4 linked regions of the Cricetulus griseus genome follow. The protein of the gene in region 1 interacts with the protein of each later gene in a pairwise test. Links are inferred from orthologs where the notes say so. Each region holds a gene or a part of one and is shown in the gene's direction. Other genes may lie near its edges.

Region 1 (5,495 bases):
ATGGGTGTGTGTGTGGGGGGGTGGGGATTAGAACCTGGCAGGAATAGTGCTGGAGAAACAGCTTGAGCTCACATCTGATTTGCAAGTTGCAGGCACAGAGACAGACAGACAGACAGACAGACAGACAGACAGACAGACAGACACAGACAGAGAGAGGGAGGGAGGGAGGGAGGAAAGAGAGAGAGAGAGAGAGGAGGAGAAGAAAGAGAGAAGAGAAGGAGAGGAGAGGGAGAGGAGAGGAGAGGAGAGGGGGAGAGGGAGAGAGGGAGAGAGAGCAGGAGAGAGGGAGAGGAGAGGAGAGGAAAGGAAAGGAGAGGAAAGGAGAGGAGAGGTAGACCCTGCCTGGGCTGGGCTTTTGAAATCTCAAAGCCCACCTCTAGTGGCACACCTCCTTTAGCAAGGCCACACCTCCTAATCCTTCTCAAAAAGTTCCATTAACTGGGGACCATACATTCAAGCATTGCAGTCTATGGGGTCTATTTTTATTCAAAGCACTACACTGAGGATGGGTACTTCGTATCACGTGGTACACAATATCAGGCATTGAGAGACCAACAATGGCACTGTGTGCTAGGTGACCTGTCCCTCAGTTAGTGTACCATTTCAGCTCTTGCATATATATGAACAGAAGGACCACATTTTACTTAGGAGAAAAGCATAGCAGAAAATGAGGTGTTTAAAATTAGGGTCAGTGCATCACTGAATAAACATCCAGCCAGCAGGATTTCATTGGACAGTATCATGGCTGCTTACTAGCTGGAGAGGTTTATTCCTCACGAGAACTATTTAAAAAGACATTTAGTAATGACTTATTTATTATGCATGCTGAACTGGGTTGCTCAAAATATACTACTTTGGTAAATTGTCACATTTGTGAACATATGTATGAATAATATTTCACTATGTATTGCCCAGAGCCAACTGTACACTCTCAAAGGTTTTGTTGTTGTTTTTATTGTTTTGTTTTTGAGTTAGGTTCTCTTTATTTTGTAGATCTTGCTGTTCTTGAACTCAATGCATAGACTAGGCTGGCCTCCCAAGTGCTGGGATTAAAAGTGTGTACTGCCATGCCTGGATAGTTTTTAATCCTATGAGTTTAATTGTGAAGAAGCAGACAATGCACACAGATCCTTGGTTGTTCTGTGTCAGCTGTTCTCTCTTCTTGAGAAAGCCAACTAAATTAAACCCAAAACTAAGGTGGGGGGAGGTAATTTATAGTGAAAACATTAAAGAACTAAGTGGACCCCAGCCTGAATTTTCAGAAGCAATATGCACTATTTTCTTAAATACAGATTGGAAGAGCCCTGCCCTAGGTTGTCAAATTCTTTAGCCCCTTTGTTTTGTTCTGTGTTGATGTCTGGTTTTGCCACTCCATCAAGGTCACAGAGATGGTGAAGGTGCATCACTTGAGGGCTGTGGCTCACACTTAGAGAGGCTGGCTGAGGGAAAGGACTGAAGTGGACATCACAAAACATTGATAGCCTGTTCCCTGCTCCCTGTGTCTAGGAGTCGGAGGAGCCTTAGAAAATGACGATCCGTCCAAGATGGTGATGGTTCTGGCTGCCACTAACTTCCCGTGGGACATTGATGAAGCTCTTCGAAGGAGACTAGAAAAAAGGATCTACATCCCTCTACCGACAGGTATGATGCTTCCTTTTACTGGATCTGGAACTTTCTGTCATTTCCTGTTAACCCTTTTCTATTTATTTAAATCTCTGTCTCACTGTCACTTTGTTTGAAGAGCTCTGTGGCATTAGGGGGACGATCTGAGTGACAGAAACAAAGCCCTTGTGAAGTCCTTTGCATTTCAGAGAAACCCTTAGTCTTAGAGCAGTACTTGTGCTGGTAAGTTTGGTAGCACTCCAGTTCTTACTTCTAAAATTGGATTCCATTAACCCTAATTTAAATATTAAAAAAGTTGTCTTGGGGACTTTCAAAAGTGATTTTCTCTTGAATGTTGAAGTTTCCTATTTCTTATTTTTATCTTTTCCTTTGAGATAAATATATATGTCGTTGAGAAGTGTATATCTCAAGTGTGTTATGATTGGTTCTCTGAAATGTGTCATCATGTTCAATCAGTGTAGTATCCTAGAAAGGATGTCCCAGCAGTTCATCTAAATGGCTATTGCATAAGCGATTTGCCTGGTCCTCCATCACCACAGGCCAGTTTTCTCTCTTGCGAAGCATTGTGTAAACAGTATGGTGACAGCATACAGTCAGTGTCTAGTGACTCTCGTCCTGCAGAAGTCTTTGAGATTTGCATGTATGAGTGTGCTTATCAGTGATTTCTTGTCCATGTGACGATGCTGCTGTGTGTTGAGTCCCCTCTGATGGGCACAGGAATTGCTTCTAGTTTTTGGCTATTATGAGTAGAGCTTTAAGCCTTATACATATTTTTGTGGATGACTGTTTTAGGTCTTTGGGTAGTATGAATGGGATATGTTAGTCAGTCAGGGGAGCTGTGTGTTTAACTTTATAAGACTGATGCTTTGCTCACTTCTAACAAGGCAGCTGTACTTAACTTTATAAGGAATACTCAAACTGTCTTCCTGAGTGGTTGTACATGTTGTATTGTCACTGTCACCATCAATAAATGGGAAGGGCAGTCTGCAACCTTGCCTATAGCTGCTGTTGGCAGTGTTTCCGTTTTATTTGCTCTTGTTGATGTGAAATGGCATCTCATTGTGGTTAATCTGGTTCCTCTGATGACTTATATCTTGACCACCTTTTTGTGAACTTATGTACTGTGTCCCTCATTTTATAACAGTTAATGTTTTATTAATGCTTTATATAAATTCTCTTTACTTACATTTTTATAATTTTTTTCCTTCCAATTTGTGGTTTAGTTTTCAATTTTCTTAATGTTCTTTCTTGGTAGCCAGAGTATTTTAATTTGTGAAGACCTTTTTTTAAAGGTTTTTTTGTTTTGTTTTTTATTAATAGGGCTTCCTGTATCTTAGAAAATATCTGCTTACCCCTAGGCTGTAAAGCTTTCTTCTGTTTACTTTTAGAAGCTATATTTAGCCCTGTGATTCTCTTGAATTGTGGGGTGGGCTTTTATTTTTTCCATGAGTATATTCAGTTCTAGTACCATTTGCTGAGAGGACTTTTCTCAATTTAATAAAAATCTTAGAAACTGGCATCTTGCAGAGTATATTCCGGATAGTAATGGGATTGAATTAGGAACTAGCAATAAGGTATTTAGATTATCCCCAATATTTTACTACTAAACAAGTTAGCTCTGAATAACAGAAGGGTCAAAGAAAATTGGAAAAATTGAAAATAGTGTTTTGGTAGGAAAAATATGTCACCCTAAATATTGTGATATGAAGCCAACATAGTGTTTTAAGGTCTGTAAATGCATACCTTGAAAAAGGCTTGAGTAGATACTATGTTAGACTTTGAAACAGAAATTAGTTTAAATGTGTAGAGGAAATAAATTAGAAAAATGTGAGATATGAAATAGAATATTAACAAGGCAAACATTTGTTCATTATGTTAATATTGACAAATCTCTAGAGAAATAATGAAGAACAACAGAGATAAATTGCCAGTATTAGGAATGAAGGAGTCACCACAACAGCTCTTATAGACAGAAGGAAAATGAAGCAACTAAGTGAAAGTAAAATCTCCCTAAGTGTTCTTCATTGTGTAACACCTCTGGATCAGTGTAACCATGGGAGTCAGTGTGCGTAAAATAGTCACAGATGTTAACATTTGCACCTAAGAAAGAAGAAAGGCCTCAACTAGGTCCTCTGTTTCTGCTTTCAGAAAAGGAGAAAGTGAAACTCAAAAGAGTAAACCCTCCCTGCAAAACAGTCTTGTGAGCTGGAAATCAGTGCCCCGGACAGTTTTCCTGGATGCCGGACACAGACACATGCTCCACTCTTCTCTTTCCTCCCAGGGGACACTATGTCCAGCCCTGTGGAGCTGTGCAAGCTTTTATTCAAGGTGCCATAGGTTCTGGGGCTGCAGCAGCTGCCGAGTTCTGTTCCTGGTGGCTCTCAGGCCAAGGGGTACCGATTCTTCTTCCTTTATGCTTGAAGCCTGAGCCAGCGGAGTCAAGTCCTTTGGCAGTGCTATGGAAGCTGGAATGTGGGGCACATGCCTCCCTCTTCTCATTCCCTCCCAAGGGAAGCTCCAAGCTGGCCTTTTCCTCCTTAACCTAGGAGCCGTTAGCTAGGGGGAAGAACTAACTGCAGAGCCAGGCGGCTTTTCTCACCCATTTCCACAAAGTTCACGCTGTGGCTTGCTAGATGGTTCTGAGCTTTGGTGAGGTTAAGACATTGTCTCCCCAGATCAGGAGGAAGAGCATCTAGGGCCTCTTATTCCCTGTGCTGCTGGGCTACTCTGAGCCTGTTCTTATGTGATGTCAGTTGTCATTCATGTCATTGTCCCCTTGTATGTTGAGGGGTATCTTTTCCTCCCTGGTTAATTCTTTGTTTTAAAAATCAGTTTTACTGAGGAATGACTTAGACACAATAAACTTTATTCACATCAGATGCTGAGCTATGGCAGCTGTGTACCACCATGAGACCATATACCAAGAAGCAAGTCCACCCTTTCTTCCTAAAGAGGCTTCTGGAGCCCTTCCCAGTCTGCCTTCCTTCTCCCACCTGGGCTGATATTTCATTGTTTGTTTCATTGTGTGGACATATCACAGACTTTCTCCATTCCCAGTGGTTGATATTAGACCATTCCTAGTTTAAGGCCATTGTGAATGAGGCTGCTATGAGCATTGATGGTTGGTTGGTTGTGTGGCAGATGCTCTAGTTTCTCCTGCATCAATGCTGAGAAGTGACATTGGTGATACATGTTTGGCTATAGCAACAGGCTGGTCACTGACTTGCTTGTTGTTTTTAAGATGGTGCACTTTGTATTTTAGTAGTTGGCTGTAATGTGGGGTTTCCTTTTTTCTTTGTTCTGCATGTGTGTTGGACATCTTGGTCCTACTGCAACCATCACTGGGGTGCTATTTGTTTCTTCTAACCCTTTTCCTGATAGGCTCCTTCTACATTTGTTTACCGAGCATTTCCTCTGCAGTCTCTTTTCCTGTGAATTTTCATTTTAGGTCTGCTTTGCAAATCTTTCATTTCCAGTTTTTAAATAGTTTCTGTTATTTTGCTGGGATTCTTCATCATTGTCTCATTCACTTTTGTCTCTTCCTTCCCTTTATTTCTCAGAATTCTTCCCGACATTGGTTGGGTGGTAATAGAGTGTGGCAGAAACGATGCTAAGGTCTAAACCTAGGTCAGAAAAAGAATATTTTCTGCCTTATTTTGTCCCTTGAGGGCCAGCAGCCATGACATGAGTTCCTCTGGCAACCATGGGGAAGCCCACATGGGAACTGAAGACTTATACTAATAGCCACCATCTTGCCAGTCATGGGAATGAGTTGCTTCTAGATTGACTGGTCTAGGACTGTAGTACAATCTAATGAGATCCCTTCTGTCCTAGTTAGCTTTAACTTTCAACTTGACACAGTCTAGAGTCAC
Region 2 (6,279 bases), on another chromosome or scaffold:
GGCTCCTCGGCCAGGCTCACTTTCCACATTGTTGATGAGGGTCCCCACAGGCAGCGCCCCAAGAGGATGTGCATTCCCTTCCTGAGCAGCCACTACAAGACAGGGTTTCATCAGCACTAAACCCTTTGCAACCTCCATCCTACTCATCTGGTGGCCATCGCTCACCTGCCATTCTGCCTATATGGTTAGAATTCAGGATTGTATCTCCCGCCTTCATGTTTTCTGTGGCAATGATCCAACGTTTCCGGCTGCCCCCAGCAACCAGAGCTATGTCTGCAGACCTGTTCAGGATGATGGACAAACAAGTGGACCACCAAGAAGGCCCACATTTTCTAAGAAGCTACAAAATAACAATTCAGACCACACCATCACCACCTCACATCCCAAACTTGCCTACATGGATCATAGCGGACAACGACAACCTTCTCCTCAAAGGGTTCTGGCTTGGTTTCTTTCTCTGGTCGGAACCGCAGAAAGTCAATCATTCTATAGTTCCTCTTGTGGCCCCCACCAATACCATGTACTCGGATACGGCCTAGAGTCAAAAGACAGTTCAGGGATATAATTCAGGTTAGAATTGCTTTCAGTATTAACAGGCCTTGCCTAGACTAGACACTAGTATCCCTTAATATTATATAACAAACAGAAAAATGACAAAGGGATGGGAGTGTAGCTCAGTGGTAGAGTTTGCCTTGTAAGCACTGAGGCCTCAGGTTTGATCCACAGCATGTGGGCATAAGGGAGCCACGGCATCCTTGGCAAAAGGGATGGGATAACACATGACTCAATAAAAATATAATTACGAAAATTGTATGAAACAGATAAAGTCTTTTCAAATTACTGAATTCAGTAAGTTTCCTGAGAGGAATATAAATTGGGCTCACATAACTTCAGCTGTTATTTTGTTTGTTTGTTTTGTTTTTCGAGACAGGGTTTCTCTGTGGCTTTGGAGGCTGTCCTGGAACTAGCTCTTGTAGACCAGGCTGGTCTCGAACTCACAGAGATCCGCCTGCCTCTGCCTCCCAAGTGCTGGGATTAAAGTCGTGCACCACCACCGCCCGGCAACTTTAGCTGTTATTAACTGTTCTATGTGGTCTATTCTTCAGCTTCAACCCACATACTAAGAAGTACCTCACTGAGGGCTTTGTAATTGTACATCTGACATCTTACGAGCTACAGTGCACTACTACAGACATTTAGGATCCTAAGGCATTTTCCTCCTCAATGCTTCAGATCCTTTCTCCCACCTGTATGGTCTCGACCCCCAGACTTCCTCATCTTCATTGGTTTAACTGTGTACTTGGTGCAACTCTTCCAGGACACAAACTTGGCATTAAGGTCCCCGGATGTATGCACTGGGCGGTGAGAAGGCAACACCAAGGCAGAGGGCTGTTGAAGAGCATTGCTCAGTATCTAGGGATAAGAAATATTCTCAGCAGCATCTCAGACCACTGCCCCCAAACTTCCAACCAACTTTCACAAATACCAGTGCAATATGTTTATCCAAGTGTGTGTGTGTTGTTTGTCCAGGTGTGTGGTAATCGTTTGGCCCTCTCCCCTCTGAAAAATTTCTTCCTGTCATCATCTTCCAATTTGTTTCAAGTTCTTGTCAGGAAACCTTTTCTTCCCTACAGAATTCCCTTTTCCAAAGCTGGTAAATTCCACACACTCACACACCACTGTCAGTACCAATGCCTTTTGCCCTTTGCATGTTTCCTGGAATTCCCACATATGAATGGAAATGATGACTCTGCTTTTCCACCTTCCACCTGCTGTAGTCCAAGGTCTTCAGAGTAGTTTGGTTTGTTTTGGAATATCAAATATGCATTTACTAAATTCTGTCGCACTCAGCCTGAGAACTTAAGAGAAGCAAGATTGGTAATTTCTCTTTTCTGTGATGCAGCATTGCTCACTGCTATTACAAATTCTGCATTCTCCAATCTCAGCCACAAGCCATCCTTACATTACGATGGTTAAGAGCACTGGCTTTGGGGTGGTTTAGTGCATAGCAGGAGTGCATAGCATGAGCAAGGTCCCAGGTTTAATTCCCAGCACCATAACAAAAACAAAAGGAAGCTCTGAACCCAGTCTAGCCCCAAAAAGTGTATGACCTTAGACTACTGACCAGTTTTCTCATCTGCAAAATGTGCATAGTAACTTGATTGAAAGGAGTTCGTTCATTGCAGCCGTCTACTTTGCCCGTTTACAGCGGGCACCTGTTTAGCAGAGATCTGCAAAAGCACTTAAGGCCCGTATCTCCTCTGAGAGCAACATTTATAAAGAGCAGAAGATGAAGGAAGGTTTACCCAGGTCACGTGATCGTGACTAGCCTCGCCGGATCACTGACAACCCGGGCGGAACCAGTCAAGCTCCCAGGTGAGTGGATTACCTGGGCAGCGGGGAGCAGAGTCGGAACCCGGGCGGTAACGGTCGGGGATGCCAGGCTCAGAGAGCGCAGAGCACTAGTGAGCGCGTACATGCCCAAGGGGTGGTCACACTCCTCGCAACTCTGCACGCTTTACCCTTTTGCAGAGCCTGATGCTCTTGGATGACGTTTCATTCCCGGCACTGTCGCTTTCAGATGACGCAAGAGGCGGGCCCCTAACTGGAGCGCCCCCGGGATACACACTTCCTTTCCTCCCTTAAAGAGCGAGTTCTCAGCCAATTATCGGCGGGCGCTGAGGTCGCGTGACTGGAGGACAGGCCCCGCCCCTCGGAGCCGTCAAAACAATTGCCTCGAGCGGCAGCCATGATGAATTTAAAGGGGCAGTCCCCGCGAAGGCGGCGGTCGGACCAACAGCCTGCAGGTGAGTCTTGGGGAGGACCCCTGGGGCTGAGGGTTAACATGGTACCAACTCTTACACCCACACTCCGGGGACAGATGAATAAGCCACTTCCGACCAGCCTCCCAAAACTCCAGGCTGACTAAAAAACTCCGCCCCCCGCGAGTCTTCCCCGCCCCTCGGCGTCCAGACGGACAGTAGGACAGCCTGCCCCGCCCACTGCGGGATCGCCTGACTCCATGACCTCGAGCTTGTCCGCTGTCCGGTCTTGACCGGCGACTCTGCCCTCACTCCTACCTTCCTGCCCTCAGTCCCTGCCTGCGTCACTGTCCTCAACCTGGGGCCTGCCTCCGCGCAAGTTAGCAACCTTAGGCACTCGTGAATTGCAGCCCCGGCCAGGGTAGCCGGCGCCCAGCGCCTTTCCCTGGGACCCCACAGTGCTTTCAGATCTGCTATGCTTTCCTGAACCATCCATCAGGCACTTGAGAGGCACCCTAAGGTACCGGTTAGGTGATCATGACAGACAAAGCCATGAAAGGAGCCTATTGCGGGAATCCAGGTGGGAATCCTCACCAGGTCTCCCTGCTCAGCCTTTCACAGGCACACCCTTGGCCGCAGGTCTCAGATTAAATCAGTCTTTCATTCCCTTATTGGGAGAAAGTAACTCCTCAGACCTGGAATGAGGAGACCGAGTTACGGAAGAAAGGACATTAGTACTGCTCTCTGAAGAACCTGTGGGCAGAAGGAGGGAGGGTGTTTGTCCTGGGTGGGGCCCCGTGCCGGTCCTCTGGGTGGCTGTGAAGTGGTGAGAGCGAGGGGGTGGGACTGCCGGACTTCTGGACTTTGGGCAGTGCAGATCTTTCTAAATCCTTAGCTGTAGTTGAGAGTTTCTTCCGGGCTCAGGCCTGGGAGCCGCCTGAAGCCAAGGGCTCTGCTCTTTACACAGGTAAGGAGACTTCAAAGATGAGTTTTGAGGAAGTAGGAAGACATTCTGAGCCCTGGCGGGGAGGGGGGTGGCAAGCGAGGTCTGAAGGTTGGTTAGTTGCAATGGAGCTAACCAGGTTGGGAGATGCTGGGCTTAGGTGCTTTGCTGACGCAGCCTGAAGACCTTCAGCCTTCCAGATTCCCTGTAATGAGGACTTCTGTTCCCCCCTCCTCTCTCTCTTTCTCTCGCTCTCTCTCGCTGTCTCCCCTAACCCTGAGTCCTGCCCCTCTACTGGGGTGCTGTTTTCTGCACAGATCCTGTTTTTTTTTTTTTTAACCCCGTTCCTCCGGAGTGCCCTCCATGACCCTTACAATGAAATGCTTCAGATGTCCTGCTGCCTTTCCCTAACCCATGCTCTCTTTCCACCTGCTAAGCCCTAAATTCCTCTAACTCGAAGCATGCCTGTTCATTCTACAGTCGAGTTATCTCTTCTCTCTCACCTTAGTTTTATGTTTACTCTTTCTCTTTCGTCAGCTCACCTACAGGGTCTCTCATACTCTTTTCCCTTTACTTAGATCCCTGACACCCTCTAACAGTATGACTTCCATCTTTACCAGCTGAACTCTGTGGTTTCTCCCTAGCCCGGGCAAGATCCCCCTTCCAGGATGTCAGGCCTGGTGTTGGGGCAGCGGGATGAGCCCTCAGGACACCGGCTCAGCCAAGAAGAGATCCTGGGCAGTACCAGGTTGGTGAGCCAAGGGCTGGAGGCCCTACACAGTGAGCATCAGGCTGTGCTGCAGAGCCTGTCCCACACCATTGAGTGTCTGCAGCAGGGAGGCCATGAGGAAGGGCTGGTGCATGAGAAGGCCCGGCAGTTGCGACGGTCTATGGAGAACATTGAACTGGGACTGAGTGAGGCCCAGGTAAGAGTTACAGGTGATGCCAAGTGTTCCAGAGTCCATAGAGGCTCGGTTAGCTGATGCAAGCTGGGGTCTCCTTGTCCGAGGAACTTAGATTTGTTTCATTCGTTAAATATTTATGGAGTGCCTACTGTGTGTCAACTCTTCTGAGTGCCAGTGATGTATCACAGCACACAACAGTACAATTCTTAGCCATCTTGAGGCTGATATTATAGCTGGGAGAGACAGACAGATAGGACATAGATAAATAAGTGAATGATTTACTGTGCCAGAGAAATCATTGCTAAGGACACAAAGATAAAAATAAAGCAAAGAAAGAGAGGATGCAGTTTTATATAGAGTGTACATAGAAGGCCTCATTCACAAGGCAACATTTGAGCGAAGACCTGAGGATAAGGGAGCAAGCCCTGGAAGAAACAGGTCCCAAGGAGGGAGGACAAGTGCAAGGGCCTTCCACTGAGCCTGGCTGGTGTGACTTTCTCAGCATGAGTGATGAATGAGGGGAAGAAGAGGGATGGCATTGGAGATGGGAACAGGTCATGCAGAGCTGGTAGGCTGTCCTAGGGTCTTTGCTTTTCCATTGAGAGACATGGGAGCTGTGTTCTAAGGAGTGATGGAATTCAGCCTAAGATCCTGTCTTGTGGGGCAGACAGTAGAGAGACCCGTGAGAGGCTGTTGTGTAGGTGGGAACTGGTGGTGTGGCATCTGATGAAAACAATGGAACTGGTGAAAAGAAGCAGGGTTTGGGGTATCTTTTTTTATTTAAGTCATTTGCTTTGTGTATATAGGTGTTTTGTCTACATGTATGTCTGTATAATATGTATGTGCCTGGTACCTATAGAGGCCAGAAGAGGCCATTAGATCCCCTCGGGCTGGAGTTACATACATTTGTGAGCTACCATGTTGGCACTGGTAATTGAACCTAGGTCCTCTAGAAGAACAGCCACTGCTCTTAATCACTGAGCCAGCTCTCCAGTCCAGTGGTTCTCAACCCTATGGATTGAAATCTCTTTTGGGGTCAAACAACCCTTTCACAGGGGTTACATATCAGCTATGTCGAATATCAGATATTCATGTTACAATTCATAACAGTAGCAAAATTGCAGTTACGAAGTAGCAATGAAATAATTTTATGGTTGGAGTCAGCACAACATGAGGAACTGTATCAAAGGGTCACAGCATTAGGGAAGTGAGAAGCACTGCTCCAGCCCCTCTGAGGATCTTTCGATGGTAGAGCTCTTGCCAGTCACTCCTGCTTGTTGCTTCCTCTATCCCTCTCCCGACTGGCCATCTCTCCTAAGGCCATCTCTCCCCTGAATGCTCTTATGTGATGTTCCCATGTAGGTGATGCTGGCTCTGGCCAGCCACCTGAGCACAGTAGAGTCGGAAAAGCAGAAGCTGCGGGCTCAAGTGCGGCGGCTATGCCAGGAGAACCAGTGGCTTCGAGATGAGCTAGCGGGCACTCAGCAGCGCTTACAGCGTAGTGAACAGGCTGTGGCCCAGCTGGAGGAAGAAAAGAAACACCTGGAGTTCCTGAGGCAGCTGCGCCAGTATGATGAGGATGGGCACAGCATGGTGAGCACGCACAACCAGGGTTTGCTGGGACCATGAGCAGCGCAGTTGCCCATCATCCCACAGGAAACATCAATGC
Region 3 (6,177 bases), about 33 Mb from region 1:
AGCTTTTGTAGGTCATGGGTGCTCAAGAGACAGCCAAGGGTTTATTTCAGTTTCAGATAGAGCAATCAAAAGAAAGCAAGGACAGAAGCTTGCTCTGCTTGGGGTCTGCTGCTACTAACTAAGGATGTCACACAGAGAACTGTTGTGGTCAGCTACTAATTAAGGGTGTCAGACAGGGAACTGTTGTGGTCAGCTACTCACTAACGGTGTCAGACAGAGAACTGTTGTGGTCAGCTACTCACTAACGGTGTCAGACAGAGAACTATTGTGGCCAGTCAATACCAATTCTGTTAAGAAAAAAAGGGGGTTCAACACAAAAATACAACTCTCACATCAAAGAGGACAAGAGGTAGTTTATTCTGGAGACAGATATGAATGGCCATGGCCATGGGAACACAGTTTCACATTACTCCAAATTCCACATTCCAATATGGCAACAGTTTCATGTAGTTTTAAGTAAAAGATCAAAAAAATCATAAATCAAAATACTCCCCAAATATAGTGGTAAAAACATTAGGTAGACAGTCACAAGAAGGTGAGGAAATCTCAGCCATAGTCACTCTCAGATAGTAGTCTTAGCCTTTAGGTTGGTGGGAACTAGAGGGTCTGTTTGTATATTCCAAAGGATTTACCTAATGCTCACAAAGATATGAGGTCATGTACCGAAGGGGCAATAAAAGCCAACTAAGGGGGCTAACTAAAGCTGCTCCAAGACAACTTGACTGTAGACTAATATTCCACCCTCCCTACATCATTGAAGTTCTAATCAATTGATCAGCCTTGCAGGAAGTTCAGAGTGAGGTGGGATTCATTTCAGGAACTTTCCTTCACAAAGGGAAAAATGGGATGAAAAAAAAAAACATCAGTTACAAAAAGTTTTAGTTTTTCTTTTTTCCCTCTTTTGGCCTACAATTTGTATCAAACTCAATCCTCGTAATTCCCTAAATTTTTCAGTTCTCTCTTTTTCTTTCTTGCTCATTTAATATACTTACAAGATGCAGTAGCACAAGAAAATACAGGTTAGCGGTTCTAAAATAAAAGTTACTTTGCATTTAGATACATTGCATGAGATAGTAAATGCCACACCAGGAGAGGTAGAACCTCGGGAGCTACTTAACTCTGAACAAATGACATCCATCCCAGAACTTCAGTTTGTTATGAAGATTAAATGACTCACAAACTCAGCACTACATGGAAGCTACTGTGCTGGAGATTATACTGTTCCTACTCAGATTTAAGAAATGTCAGGAAAACATATTTTTAATTTTATTAATTGGCATAGTGACAAATATATGATTGGACAATTTATACTAAAACCATTTGGGAACTGAAGATACATAACTCAGTTGATAGAGCCTAGCATTCGGGAAGCCCTTCTAATCCAGGCCTGGATGGCTCACACTTAATGATCAGTTCAGGGTCATCGAGCTTAGGGTAGAGACCCTGTCTAAAATATTTGTATTTTTAAAAATAACAACCCTCCCTCCCATTAGCTCAAAGCTAGTGTAAGGAAGTCACACAAGCATGTGCCCAGTCCCATCTTAGTGAACTTCTATAGAGTTAGAATGGCCGGTTTGAAGCAATGGAGGGTTTTACACTTTCAGAATCAGTTACCTTTTTATTCACTTATCCAACACACACACACACACACACACACACACACACACACACACACACACAGAGAGAGAGAGAGAGAGAGAGAGAGAGAGAGAGAGAGAGAGAGAGAGACAGAGCATGACAGTTGAAACTAGACAAAAAATAAAACCCTTCAGCTCTTCTTTCATAACAACTATTTCATGGGGTGTTAGCTGAAGATTTAGCGTATATGCCTGAGAGGAATAGGAGGTAGGAGACCTTTGCCCCCAACATCTATAGATTGAACAACGTGAAGGGGGAGGGGAATGAAGGCGATCATGAGATGCCCCAGGATCTGGTACTCAAAGGAACTGGCTTTCACTAATGGTCTCTCTTATGGCTCTCAGAGAAGTCATTTTGTTTTCTTCGGCTCTCATTTCAATATCCATGCTAGGGTTTTAGCTCTCAGCTGTTTCCCTACCCTCCACCTTTGCAAGACCTGCCCAAATACACTTTAACACTCTGGGTGAAATGAGCAAGTCAAATCCGAAGGAGAAGTCGATGATGCCTCAACTCTATGTGAAGCAACAGAGGAAAGCTGGGAATGGAAAGGAGGCCTTCCCCAGGGAAGAGCACACAAAATTGGTTGTTTAGTGACGAAAGGTCAATCCTGAAAACATGCATACAGGTACTGAACTGAATATGTTATATTTAGGAATATATATGTACAATAACAGTTTTAAAAAAAAAGAGGCCAGGAATTTGAAGGACAGCGGGGAAGGGGTATGCATATGTGTTTGTAGGGAGGAAAGGGAAAGGGAAAAATGTTGCAATTAAATTAACAGTCTCCAAAATAGAAAACATTCTGGCGACCTTTTCACCTTTGCGCCTGCGCCCGAAGCCACGCCCTGAGGTCAATTCCCTCCTCCCGCTTATTTTGCACACGCGCATCTGAGGCTCTCTGCGGTTCTGAGAGGCGGGACTTCCTGCCCTCTTTAGCGTGACTGCGGAAGTGGATGCAGACAACTCAGGTTGGCCACTGCTTGGGATCTTTGGGCGTGTGCGCTCGCCGCTGCTTTCGGCTGGAAAGATGCCGGGTCTGGCCGCCGCCAGCCCTGCCCCGCCTGAGGCTCAGGAGAAGAAGCCGCTGAAGCCGTGCTGCGCCTGCCCGGAGACCAAGAAGGCGCGCGATGCGTGGTCAGTGCGCAGCCGGGGAGGGACGGCCGGGCTTCCGTAGGCTCAGCTCAGCTCCGCTCCGCTCTGCTCTCCGGCACTCCGGAGTGACCGGAACCCATAGCTTCGCAGCCGCCTCTGTTCCCTGAACGCGCACCTCCGTCTGTTAGGGTAACGGGAGAGGGCAAGAGGTCAGGTTGGCCCCAAGGTTCTCCTTTATTCCTTGCTACCATGCCCTTGACCCTTCCTGGGTATTAGGTCCGGATGTATAGAAGTGCGTATGCTTTGGCTTAAAGGAACAGCCATCATTATACCACTTAGCAAGGCCAAAGTGTAAAACAGTCAGGTAATTTCTAAGAATTTTTCCAAAACGTGCGCGTGTAGTAGGACACAGGATACATTTTTGTATGGCTCCCCTTTCCACTTTTAACGGGCCGAAGGTTAAAAGGCAGCCTGTCTGGGGCTGGAGAGATGGCTGTGTGTTTTAAGAGAACTGGTTACCCATCTAGAGGACCTGGCTTCGATTCCCAACACCCACCTGGTCGCTAACAAGACTCTTTAGCTCCAGTCCCCGAGGAGTCCGACGCCTTCTTCTGGCTTTTACGAGCACTGCATATTCATGGTGTACCAAAAAAACGTGTAGGCCAAACAACCATACACATAAAAACATACATTTTAAAACCTGTCTACAATATAGGTACATTAATGTTTACCTTACCAAGTCACGAAAGGTTTTGTTTGATCTCACTTTTATGATGTCGCAGATTCTGGCGAAGATCTCATTAGGAGTCCTCCGTTAATGTGACTATATGTCTCCATCTGTCCCATCAAAGTAGAAAAGTGATAGTAGAAACAGATACGGTGCTCATGCCTGTAATCTCATTACTGGGGGGACTGTAGCAGGAGGATTGCCACTGCTTAAGTCTAGCCTGAGCAACAGTGAGACCAAGTCTTAAAAAAAAAAAAAAAGCCATACACAAAAGAGAAATTATTTGGCTATGTAGTAAGATAGTAAGAGTGTACCTTAGTACACTCTATTATCATCACTACTTTGCAAGCCATACTGTAAGTGGAGAATTTAAAGATCTGTCTGATACTGAGGGTCCTGCAATAGTAATACCTGCTTATGGAAACTTTAGGAAATGTGATGTCAAGATTAGGAGCTTAGAAATACAGACAGACCTTGAAGACCGATCCTCTGACTTGGTGACTTTGTACAAGGTACTTAACACATGTCTGCTACCCATGTGTGTTGAATGAGTCCAGCATTTCTGTAAGGTTGTCCATCCCACCCAGTCTCTCATTGGCTGGTAAGGATTTTAATAGTAGACTCCCATTTCCCAACTCCTTTGAGACAGGATCTTGACATGTAGCCCAAGCTGGCCTCTTATGCAGGATTTTTTCAGCCCTAGCTTTCCAGATGTGATTTTAGGCGTTGAGTCAGTACATTCTAGCTCTTACAGTTACTTGGTAGATTTTATCAGTAAAATGTCCCTTAATCTTTCAACGAAGGATTCATCTTGTGGCTTGTAGCTACCAGATCTTTTTTGATGTTTATGTTGTTGGGTGTTTAATGATTAAAAGTAGGTTTAAGTGTGTTTGAATGTAAGGAGAAACAGGAAGTTAGTTTCTGTACAATAATGGGCCCACAAGTTAACCTCGTCCCTTCATTTAATATAAATATTTTACTCAGTTTATTTCACTCTAAAGAAATGTTTATTATTCCTTGAGTATAGACTAAAGATACCATTTGCTATGCATAATTGTTTCACCTAGTTAGAACCTTCCCCAAACAACAACAAAAACAAACCTCAGAACCTTATTTCTGTGGAACCATCATAAGAACAAATACAGGGAGCAAAGGAGCCAAGCTGTTTGGTATAGTAGAGTTTTGTTTCTGACTTCAGCCACATTCTGTGTACTTCACTGACTCACTGGCCTGCGCTGTCATATTCCCCACCAATGTGCTTAATGTCAGTTTATTAGGTAACCAATGCACTTTATTTTACAGCATCATTGAGAAAGGAGAAGAACACTGTGGACATCTCATTGAGGCCCACAAGGAGTGCATGAGAGCTCTGGGGTTTAAGATATGACGTGGTGAGTTAACCGCATTGCTTCAAGTCTGTGTATTACTCTACAGAGTTAGCTGCCAGGCAGCATTCTTCCGAGAAGGTAGCGCCCCCCCCCCCCATTAATCTAGCGTGTTTCAATAGCACTTAAAGGTAGCTTTTCTGTTCCTAGTATGGGGTGGTGAATGATGGCAACAGTTTGAGAGCAACCAGGAAGTCTGAGACACGAGTGTTAAGCTTTTGAGAACTGGTTTGACAACAGCCTTTGGAGTTACATCACAGTCTGCATTAAGGTCTTGTTAGTGAGGCTTTTCCCTCCCATGCCCCATGTGAAGTAGGAGCATGTTTCCCTGCCACTGTTCCAGCCATATCTTCCTACGGTGGTAGAGGCGTCCTGTAGCTACATTCTCCAATGGTAAACGCTAGCAGTTAAATTGGGCCTAATGAGGTCGGGGAACTGAGTTCTCAATTTAGAAAAAGGTTAACAGTTGTAGGTGGCTAGCAGCTACTCTTGTCTTTATGGTCACCACCTGTACTCTGAGCATCTTCTTACAATGATCACCCTGCTTCCCTCCAGCTAGGATGTATGCTCTGGGAAGCGTCCGGTTTCACTCCCAGCCTGTCCCCGAGCACTTAGAACACTGCCTGGCGCATAGCAGGTGCTGGATAGGGTACTGTTCATTAAGTGAATGTGTGAATGAATAGGGAATTAGTGGTGGTTCAGTGTAGCAGGATTCCTGAGGTGGGCTTAGCAGGATCAGAAGGAGGGAACCTCCACCTCCAGGCAAACATTCTATTTGTGCCTCTCTCAGGTCACACCTCACTGCCACTCCTAATTTAGCAACATCAGAAAGATAGCAAAGCCACATGCCAGCTTGATAATAGTGGAGAGCTGGTTTCTTTCTCTTTCACCTCTCTTTGGAATGTCACACATGACTCCTCATGGTCTTTGAAGTATAGAAAGGAGATGAGTGCCACTTACCCATAAGAAGTGTAACAGGAGAAGAAGAGTGTTTAAACACACAGGCCCCAACACCTGTATGTACATGGCCTTTTTGTTCTAGCTCTTTCTCCACTGTTAGGTTAAGCTTTGCCTAGAGCATCATGGGGGAATTTTGGAGCCACAGTGAAGGGCAGTGGTGGGATTACATTCTCTGAACAGAGGCACTGTGTGTTTTCCTCCTAACACTTTGTGAGCTCTTACGGCCAGCATGCCCAGTTTTGGGATCGTACATTACCTTAATCTTCAATACTAAGACTTATAATGAATGCTAATGAAAAAGAGCTCTTGCTGGAATGCATGGGAGCATATACCTTAGAGCCAAGCCCCTGGCTGTAGTAAACTCCAGCACAACTA
Region 4 (6,104 bases), on another chromosome or scaffold:
TTTTTTTTTTTAATATGGTGTGTGTGTGTGTGTGTGTGTGTGTGTGTGTGTGTGTGTGTGTGTGATTTATGTATGGACACATGTGCCAAAACTGAGTCAGGGGAGGTGAGAGGGCAACTTGTTGGAGTTGGTTCTCTCCATCCACCTTTATGTGCGTTCCATTAGTTCTGGATCTCAAATCCAGGTCAGCAAGTTCCTTTCCCCACTGAGCCATCTTGCTGCCCCCTCCTTTTGTTTTTTTTTGGGGGGGGCAGTGTTGATCTGTGTAGCCCAGGCTATCCTGGAACTCACTCTGTAGACCAGGTTAGCCTCGAACTCGGAGATCTGCCTGCTTCTTTCCCTGGGTGCCAGCGTTTAAAGGCAAGTGGCACTATGCTCCTCAGTCGCCCTCCCCTTTTTAGTAGTCTACCAGCTGGTCAGGGAGCCCCAGGTATCCACCCACCTGTCTCCACCTCCTCATCACTGGGATTATAACCATCTGCCATCACACCTAGCTTTTAAAATATGGATTCCGAGGTTTGCACTCGGGTCCTTGTGCTTGCAAATACACCAACTGAGGCATTTCCCCAGGTCCATGCCATACTTCTTTAATAAAAACAAACAACCAAACTTTATGGTTATGAAGAAAAAATTCAACTTTATCGATAGGAAAAGTATTGATGCTTTCAATATCAAAGTGGAATGATTGTTATGTATTTCAAAAGTTTCAATACCAGCACAGCTTTCTTCAGTCTCTATGCTAAAGTCTGAGAGCTGGGAAACCTGGGCAGCTCATCACTGGTGTAAACCTTAGAATCTGGGTCTAGAAAAGAACCTGTTTGAGACTCTGTAATTATCAAGTTCATAAGTGAGAACATTGAAATTCTTTTCTGGTCATTAGGCACCTGGACTCCTTTTGTTTGCTTGTTTTTCCAGACAGGGTCTCTCTGTGTAGCTTTGGCTGCCCTGGAACTTGCTCGCTAGACCAGACTGGCCTCAAATTCAAAGAGATCCACCTGCCTCTGCCTCCCAAGTGCTGGGATTAAAGGTGTATGCCACCACCATCTGGCTTGGACTCCTTAATTCTGAGATTAATGTTAATGAAGCAGTCTTGGCTCTCTACTATTTGCTACCACACCATCCAGCTGCTCTTGAGATAAGCAACATGTCTTACTCTCTTGATTCTCCTCCACTGAGGGCACAGCAATGATCTTTATTGCTTGGTAGGCTATCAAGAAATTCATGTTTATGATGATGAAGAAATACCTTGAGAGAAAGTGACTTCATGTGTGTTAACTTTTTATTTTAAAACACCACCACCTACCTAGTAGAAGCCATGCTCACAAATACTCTGTCTTGCCCCAGTTCCTTTCACACACTCAGCCAGCGGGAGCTAACAGGTGTGGCCACACATGTGCCTGCTTGTGCTTGGCATCATCTGAGAAAGTCTCAAAGACGTTGCTCACACAGTGTTCTAAAAATATTTTCCCATTGTCATAAATGGTTGCTTCAAATTTTTATTATTACTTATTTTGGGGGGTTAAGTGAGCGCCCCGTTACTACAGAAGGAAAATACATTACATTACAATCACTTAATGGCCCCTTAGCTCCAATTAGTGCTCTGTATGCCCACAGTATTTAGGATATACCTTTCATAACTTCACTCAGTGTGATGTATCGGGACTATCACTCTGACTTCTGCACAGGGGAAGACCACCGTACAAGACAATCTTACTATCTCAGGTTTTTTAACCCTGACCAGTGGCTTACCCTGACTAGACTCTTATCAAGAGAATTGTTCTCAGTAATTAAAAATGTGCCGGGGACAGAACCAATCCTAATCTCATAGTCAAACATTCCTGCCCTGATGAAACTAAACTTGCTTCCCAAGAAGAGGGCCTTTAATATGCACATTTCCTGTCTTAAGTTTCTTGCAGCAGTCTGTGAGTTTTGGAGGCTTGGAGTTGCAAGGTATTTTTTAAATAATAAAGTTTCTAAAAACTGTTAAAGAGATTCTCGAAGTTTGGCACATAACAGGAAACAAAACAAGATAGTCAGGAATTACGTAGAGCTTACCAGGAGCCAGGTACTCTCGGAATAATTTTGTTTGTATCAACCCATTTGCTATCCACAGCAACCTTAAGAGGCAGATACATTGTTATCATTCTGGTTTTACAGACGAGGAAATCAAAAGCACACACACTAAGTTCCTGTGATTTGTTTAAAGTCTCACAGTTCCAGAGTCTACGCTTTTTAACCACTATATCCTGGTCGTTTCAATGAGAATAAATGTTCATCTCTCCTTGAGGCCCGGGTGTAGTCCCTTACTAGAGTATCCCTAGCCCCCAGGGTCTTTCTTTCCTGGGTGCCTCTGTTCTAGTAGCCTTCTTAACCCCGCCATAGCAAAGCGTCCGTGAGCCCCTATGGCCACTAGGGGGCGCCGCGGCCACGCGCCCTGTCCCCCCCTCCCGCAGGCACCCGAGGGGGCGGAGCTTGCGCTGGGCGGGGCCCGCGGACGCCCACGGCTAGCTATCCCGGCGGGCCGCGCGCGGCGGTGTTTGAATGGCTGTGAGTGGGGCCCGGCTGGGGATCCCGGGGACGCTCCGAGCTGCCGGGCGCGGTTCGTCAGCACAGTGGCTGGGCTGAGGCGCTGCGCTACCATGAGGCGCCGGTAAGTGACGGCCGCACCGGGTTGGGATCTCCGCTGCTGCTCGCTCGTGCGCAGGCTTCTCGAGCGGCTGGCCGGGCCCACCTGCAGGCCCCGCGGCGGCGGCCTTTCCCGGGCAAGGCGGCGGGGTCGGGGCGGGGCGCGGACGGGTGGGGCCGCCGGTCTCCCGCGGACCCCCCGGGCGGGCCACGGCTGGGAGCTGGGAGCTGCAGGCCTCGGGGGTCCTGGCGGGAGAGGCGTGGACCAAACCTGCTGTCATTTCTTGGTCCTCGGGTGGAGTCGACGTCTACACCCCACAGGGAAGGACGGGGCGCGTGAGAGGATCGCTGTGCGAGGAGGACAGGTTTTCGCGAGAGCCGTCTAGGCCCGGCTGAGGCATTTCCTTATTTTCGGAGGAATTTTTGATTCCCAGACAGATCGGAATTTGTTTCTCAGGACAGAAATTTGACATAGCTGCGTAAGAATTGTTGACTGCAACTTTTAAAACTCCTCGTGCTTTCTGAAAAGTTACTCTGTAATTGTACCCAGGCGCTTAACTGGGTTTACGTACGGAGATAACAAAGAGTTGATTTGTTTTCTGGTGGCTTATAAAGTGCCTTGAAAACATCTGTATCAGTTTCTTTGCAGATACGGAGGAAAAAAGTAATTGGGAGAGGAATTAGTTCGGTAATTGTCACCAATTTCGTGCTTTAAAGCATTCTGAGACACGAGTCCTTCTAATACCTGCAACTTGTGTAAAATCATTCAAGATTATTCTTCTTTCTTTTAAATCAGCTTCTTCGAGTCAGAAGTTTATGCACGGAGGCTTTTACCTGGTCAGTAATAAACTATGATGAGCAATATTTATTTTGTTTTCTGTGTGCTGAGTTGTTTTAAGAGCGTGCTTTGGAATAGGTAGTGTTATTATCATCGTTTGCCTCCTCAGCCTCTTTCTTACTAATATACAAAGTGTTGTCTTTTTATTTACTTCAGCTTCGGAGATTCTTAAGTGAGTATACATTTGTGTACACACGAATCAATCTTCACACCAGTGACAGTATCTGCTCATATTGGCCACACTTAAGTTTTATGCCCGAGCCCCTTCCCCAAAATTGTTTTTAAGATAAATGGACGTCATAAAGTTTGTAGGTTCATTTTTTAGAGATTGTGGAGAACAGCTGGAAACATTTTTTTTAAAACTATGGTACACTATTTTGTATTTGAAATGAATGTACTTAATAACTCCATGAAAAGAAATGCAATCCCAAAGCAAACCACTTCATGAGTAGTCAACAGTTCACTATTATTTATACCCAAACCTTTAAAACCACCTTCATCGGTTACCAAGGTTTTGATTGCCTCACTGTCCAGCACAGTACTGAGTCTAGTCAGCTATATGCAAGACATGTACCAGGTAACAAATATGAAGTTAATTTGGTGTGAAATTAGTAGCAAAAACATATGTGATACTCTTCTCTGTTGGTGCAGTGGGTATCTGAGTGATAATCTGAACTCAGTAAGTACTGTAGAGCTAACAGTTGAAAAGCTTATATAAGACAGTTAGTAGAAGGAGAGGTAGGGTATTTTATCGAGGAAATTGTTCGAAGACTGGGAATCCAGAAAAAAAAAATGACTTATTGGGAACATTTAGCCTGGTCTTTTGGAAGTTCATGTTGGTTAATATTATATGAAGCAAGACTGGGGAATGTTGTAAATGAGACATGTCCATGAGCTCTCTCTCTCTCTCTCTCTCTCTCTCTCTCTCTCTCTCTCTCTCTCTCTCTCTCTCTCTCTCTCTCTCACACACACACACACACACACACACACACACACACGGATTTGGGAATTTATAAACTTTTATGTCAGTGGATCTCAACTGAGTGCATTTTTCCCCCTCCATAGGACATTTGGGGATGTGAGACTCTTGTGATACTGTCAATCTGTTGACCACAGACTCTGGAGTACTTATTAAACATCCTACAATCAGATCTCCATAAGAAACAATTACTCCAAATGTCAGTGTAGGATGCAAGTCTGATAACCTGAGTTTGATCCTGGAACCCACAATAAAAAAAACAAAACCCCACAGGCCCCCAAAAGGTAGGTAAGGAGTCACAAGGCTCTAATCCCTACCATAAGATGGGAGGCAGAGGAAAGATGGGAGACAGAATCACAGGAACCTGAGGGCCACCTAATCTGTAGTAATATTACGGCATGGTAAAAAAAACGAGAGACCCTTCCTCAACAAGGTAGAAGGAGAAAAGCAATTTTCTAATGTTACCCTTTGACCTTTGTTCATAGTCTAGCATGTGCACGCACACACAAATATTTTATGAATAATTTTAAATCAATTTTTAATGTTTAAATAAATCAGTTATAAACACTTGCCCCTCAATAAAACCACTGTTAATATTTTTTTGTTTGTTTTCTTTAGACAGGTTTTCTGTGTATAGTCCTGGCTGTCAGCCTGTAACTAGCTCAGTAAACCAGGCTGGCCTTGAATTAAAAAGATCCACCTGCCTCTGCCTCTCGAGTGCTGGGATTAATCTTGGTTGGTCATGAAGCAGAGAGTTTAAAGGGCTAATTTTGAGTTTTTGTGTCTTAAAACCTAACTTTTTTGGATTTTTGAGGCAGGGTTTCTCTGTAATGGCTCTGGTTATCCTGGAACTCTGTAGACTAGACTGGCCTCAAACTCACAAAGATCTTCCTGCCTCTGCCTCGCAAGTGCAACTCCCACCTGCACTTCTCACTGAGGGAATGGGAAATTATCTTTAAAAATATGTGGCTCATACAGAATGTCATAAAATACACCAATCAGTATTGGTGTTTTATCAGTCATGTTACTTGATTGCTGTTGTGTAAATGAACCCTTCAAAACTAATTTGTCATTGTAACTGTTAGTTCTTTGGTAACTGTGATAAATACCTGAAAAACAATTTCAGAGGTTTTAACTCAGTGTTGACTGAATTCATAGCTTGGGCCTGAGGCAAGGCAAAATATTGTGACAGTGAGTGGGGGAAGACAGACAAACAACATATACAGAGACAAAGACAGGAAGGGCCTGGAGACAAGATGTAGTGCAAGATGATAGGCATCCTGGTGGGCAACTGCTTCCCCCAGCTTTAACCCACCACCTAAAGTTTTCAACACCTTCCAAAATAGCACAACCAGCTGGGCTCAAGGCTTCAATACATGACTATAGGTAACATTGACAGTGTTAAGTGTTGTTGTCTAGTGGGAGATATTGAGGTCATAAGCTCCATGCCCATGAATAGGTTAATGCCATGGCTTCTGTAATTCTGGAGTTCCAGTTGTGCTCTGTCCTCTTCTACTTGCCTTTTCCACTTTCTCACTCATACCCCACACTTGTGTTGCCCTCCACCATGTTATTGTAGGAAGAGGGCCCTCACTAGATGTGGCCTTTGAATCTTGGATTTCCCAGTCTAGAAAACCATTAAAAACCTCCTTTCTTGTTTCT

The links.
Region 2: the proteins of Katnal1 (region 1) and Klc4 interact in binary tests that used the Homo sapiens proteins (3 or more experiments, as listed by UniProt). The two-hybrid records come from large-scale screens. The link is inferred for Cricetulus griseus from reciprocal best matches to the Homo sapiens genes KATNAL1 and KLC4.
Region 3: the proteins of Katnal1 (region 1) and cytochrome c oxidase copper chaperone interact in binary tests that used the Homo sapiens proteins (3 or more experiments, as listed by UniProt). The two-hybrid records come from large-scale screens. The link is inferred for Cricetulus griseus from reciprocal best matches to the Homo sapiens genes KATNAL1 and COX17.
Region 4: the proteins of Katnal1 (region 1) and Katnbl1 interact in binary tests that used the Homo sapiens proteins (3 or more experiments, as listed by UniProt). The two-hybrid records come from large-scale screens. The link is inferred for Cricetulus griseus from reciprocal best matches to the Homo sapiens genes KATNAL1 and KATNBL1.

Annotation. Positions count from the first base shown.
Region 1 is NC_048597.1:84,712,836-84,718,330, reverse strand, and holds part of Katnal1 (katanin p60 ATPase-containing subunit A-like 1), read left to right. Parts: intron 1-1,506; coding exon 1,507-1,641; intron 1,642-5,495. UniProt on the Homo sapiens protein: Regulates microtubule dynamics in Sertoli cells, a process that is essential for spermiogenesis and male fertility. Severs microtubules in an ATP-dependent manner, promoting rapid reorganization of cellular microtubule arrays.
Region 2 is NW_023276806.1:256,061,173-256,067,451, reverse strand, and holds the start of Klc4 (kinesin light chain 4), read left to right. Parts: upstream 1-2,674; 5' UTR 2,675-2,807; intron 2,808-2,983; exon of another isoform or gene 2,984-3,729; intron 3,730-4,349; 5' UTR 4,350-4,373; coding exon 4,374-4,631; intron 4,632-5,972; coding exon 5,973-6,203; intron 6,204-6,279. Other genes in the region: Mrpl2 (39S ribosomal protein L2, mitochondrial), read right to left, coding at 1-92, 166-281, 394-535, 1,248-1,413, 2,390-2,479.
Region 3 is NC_048597.1:51,783,323-51,789,499, reverse strand, and holds the start of cytochrome c oxidase copper chaperone, read left to right. Parts: upstream 1-2,572; 5' UTR 2,573-2,665; coding exon 2,666-2,772; intron 2,773-4,759; coding exon 4,760-4,844; 3' UTR 4,845-4,848; intron 4,849-6,177.
Region 4 is NC_048599.1:65,977,389-65,983,492, reverse strand, and holds the start of Katnbl1 (KATNB1-like protein 1), read left to right. Parts: upstream 1-2,499; 5' UTR 2,500-2,650; intron 2,651-6,104.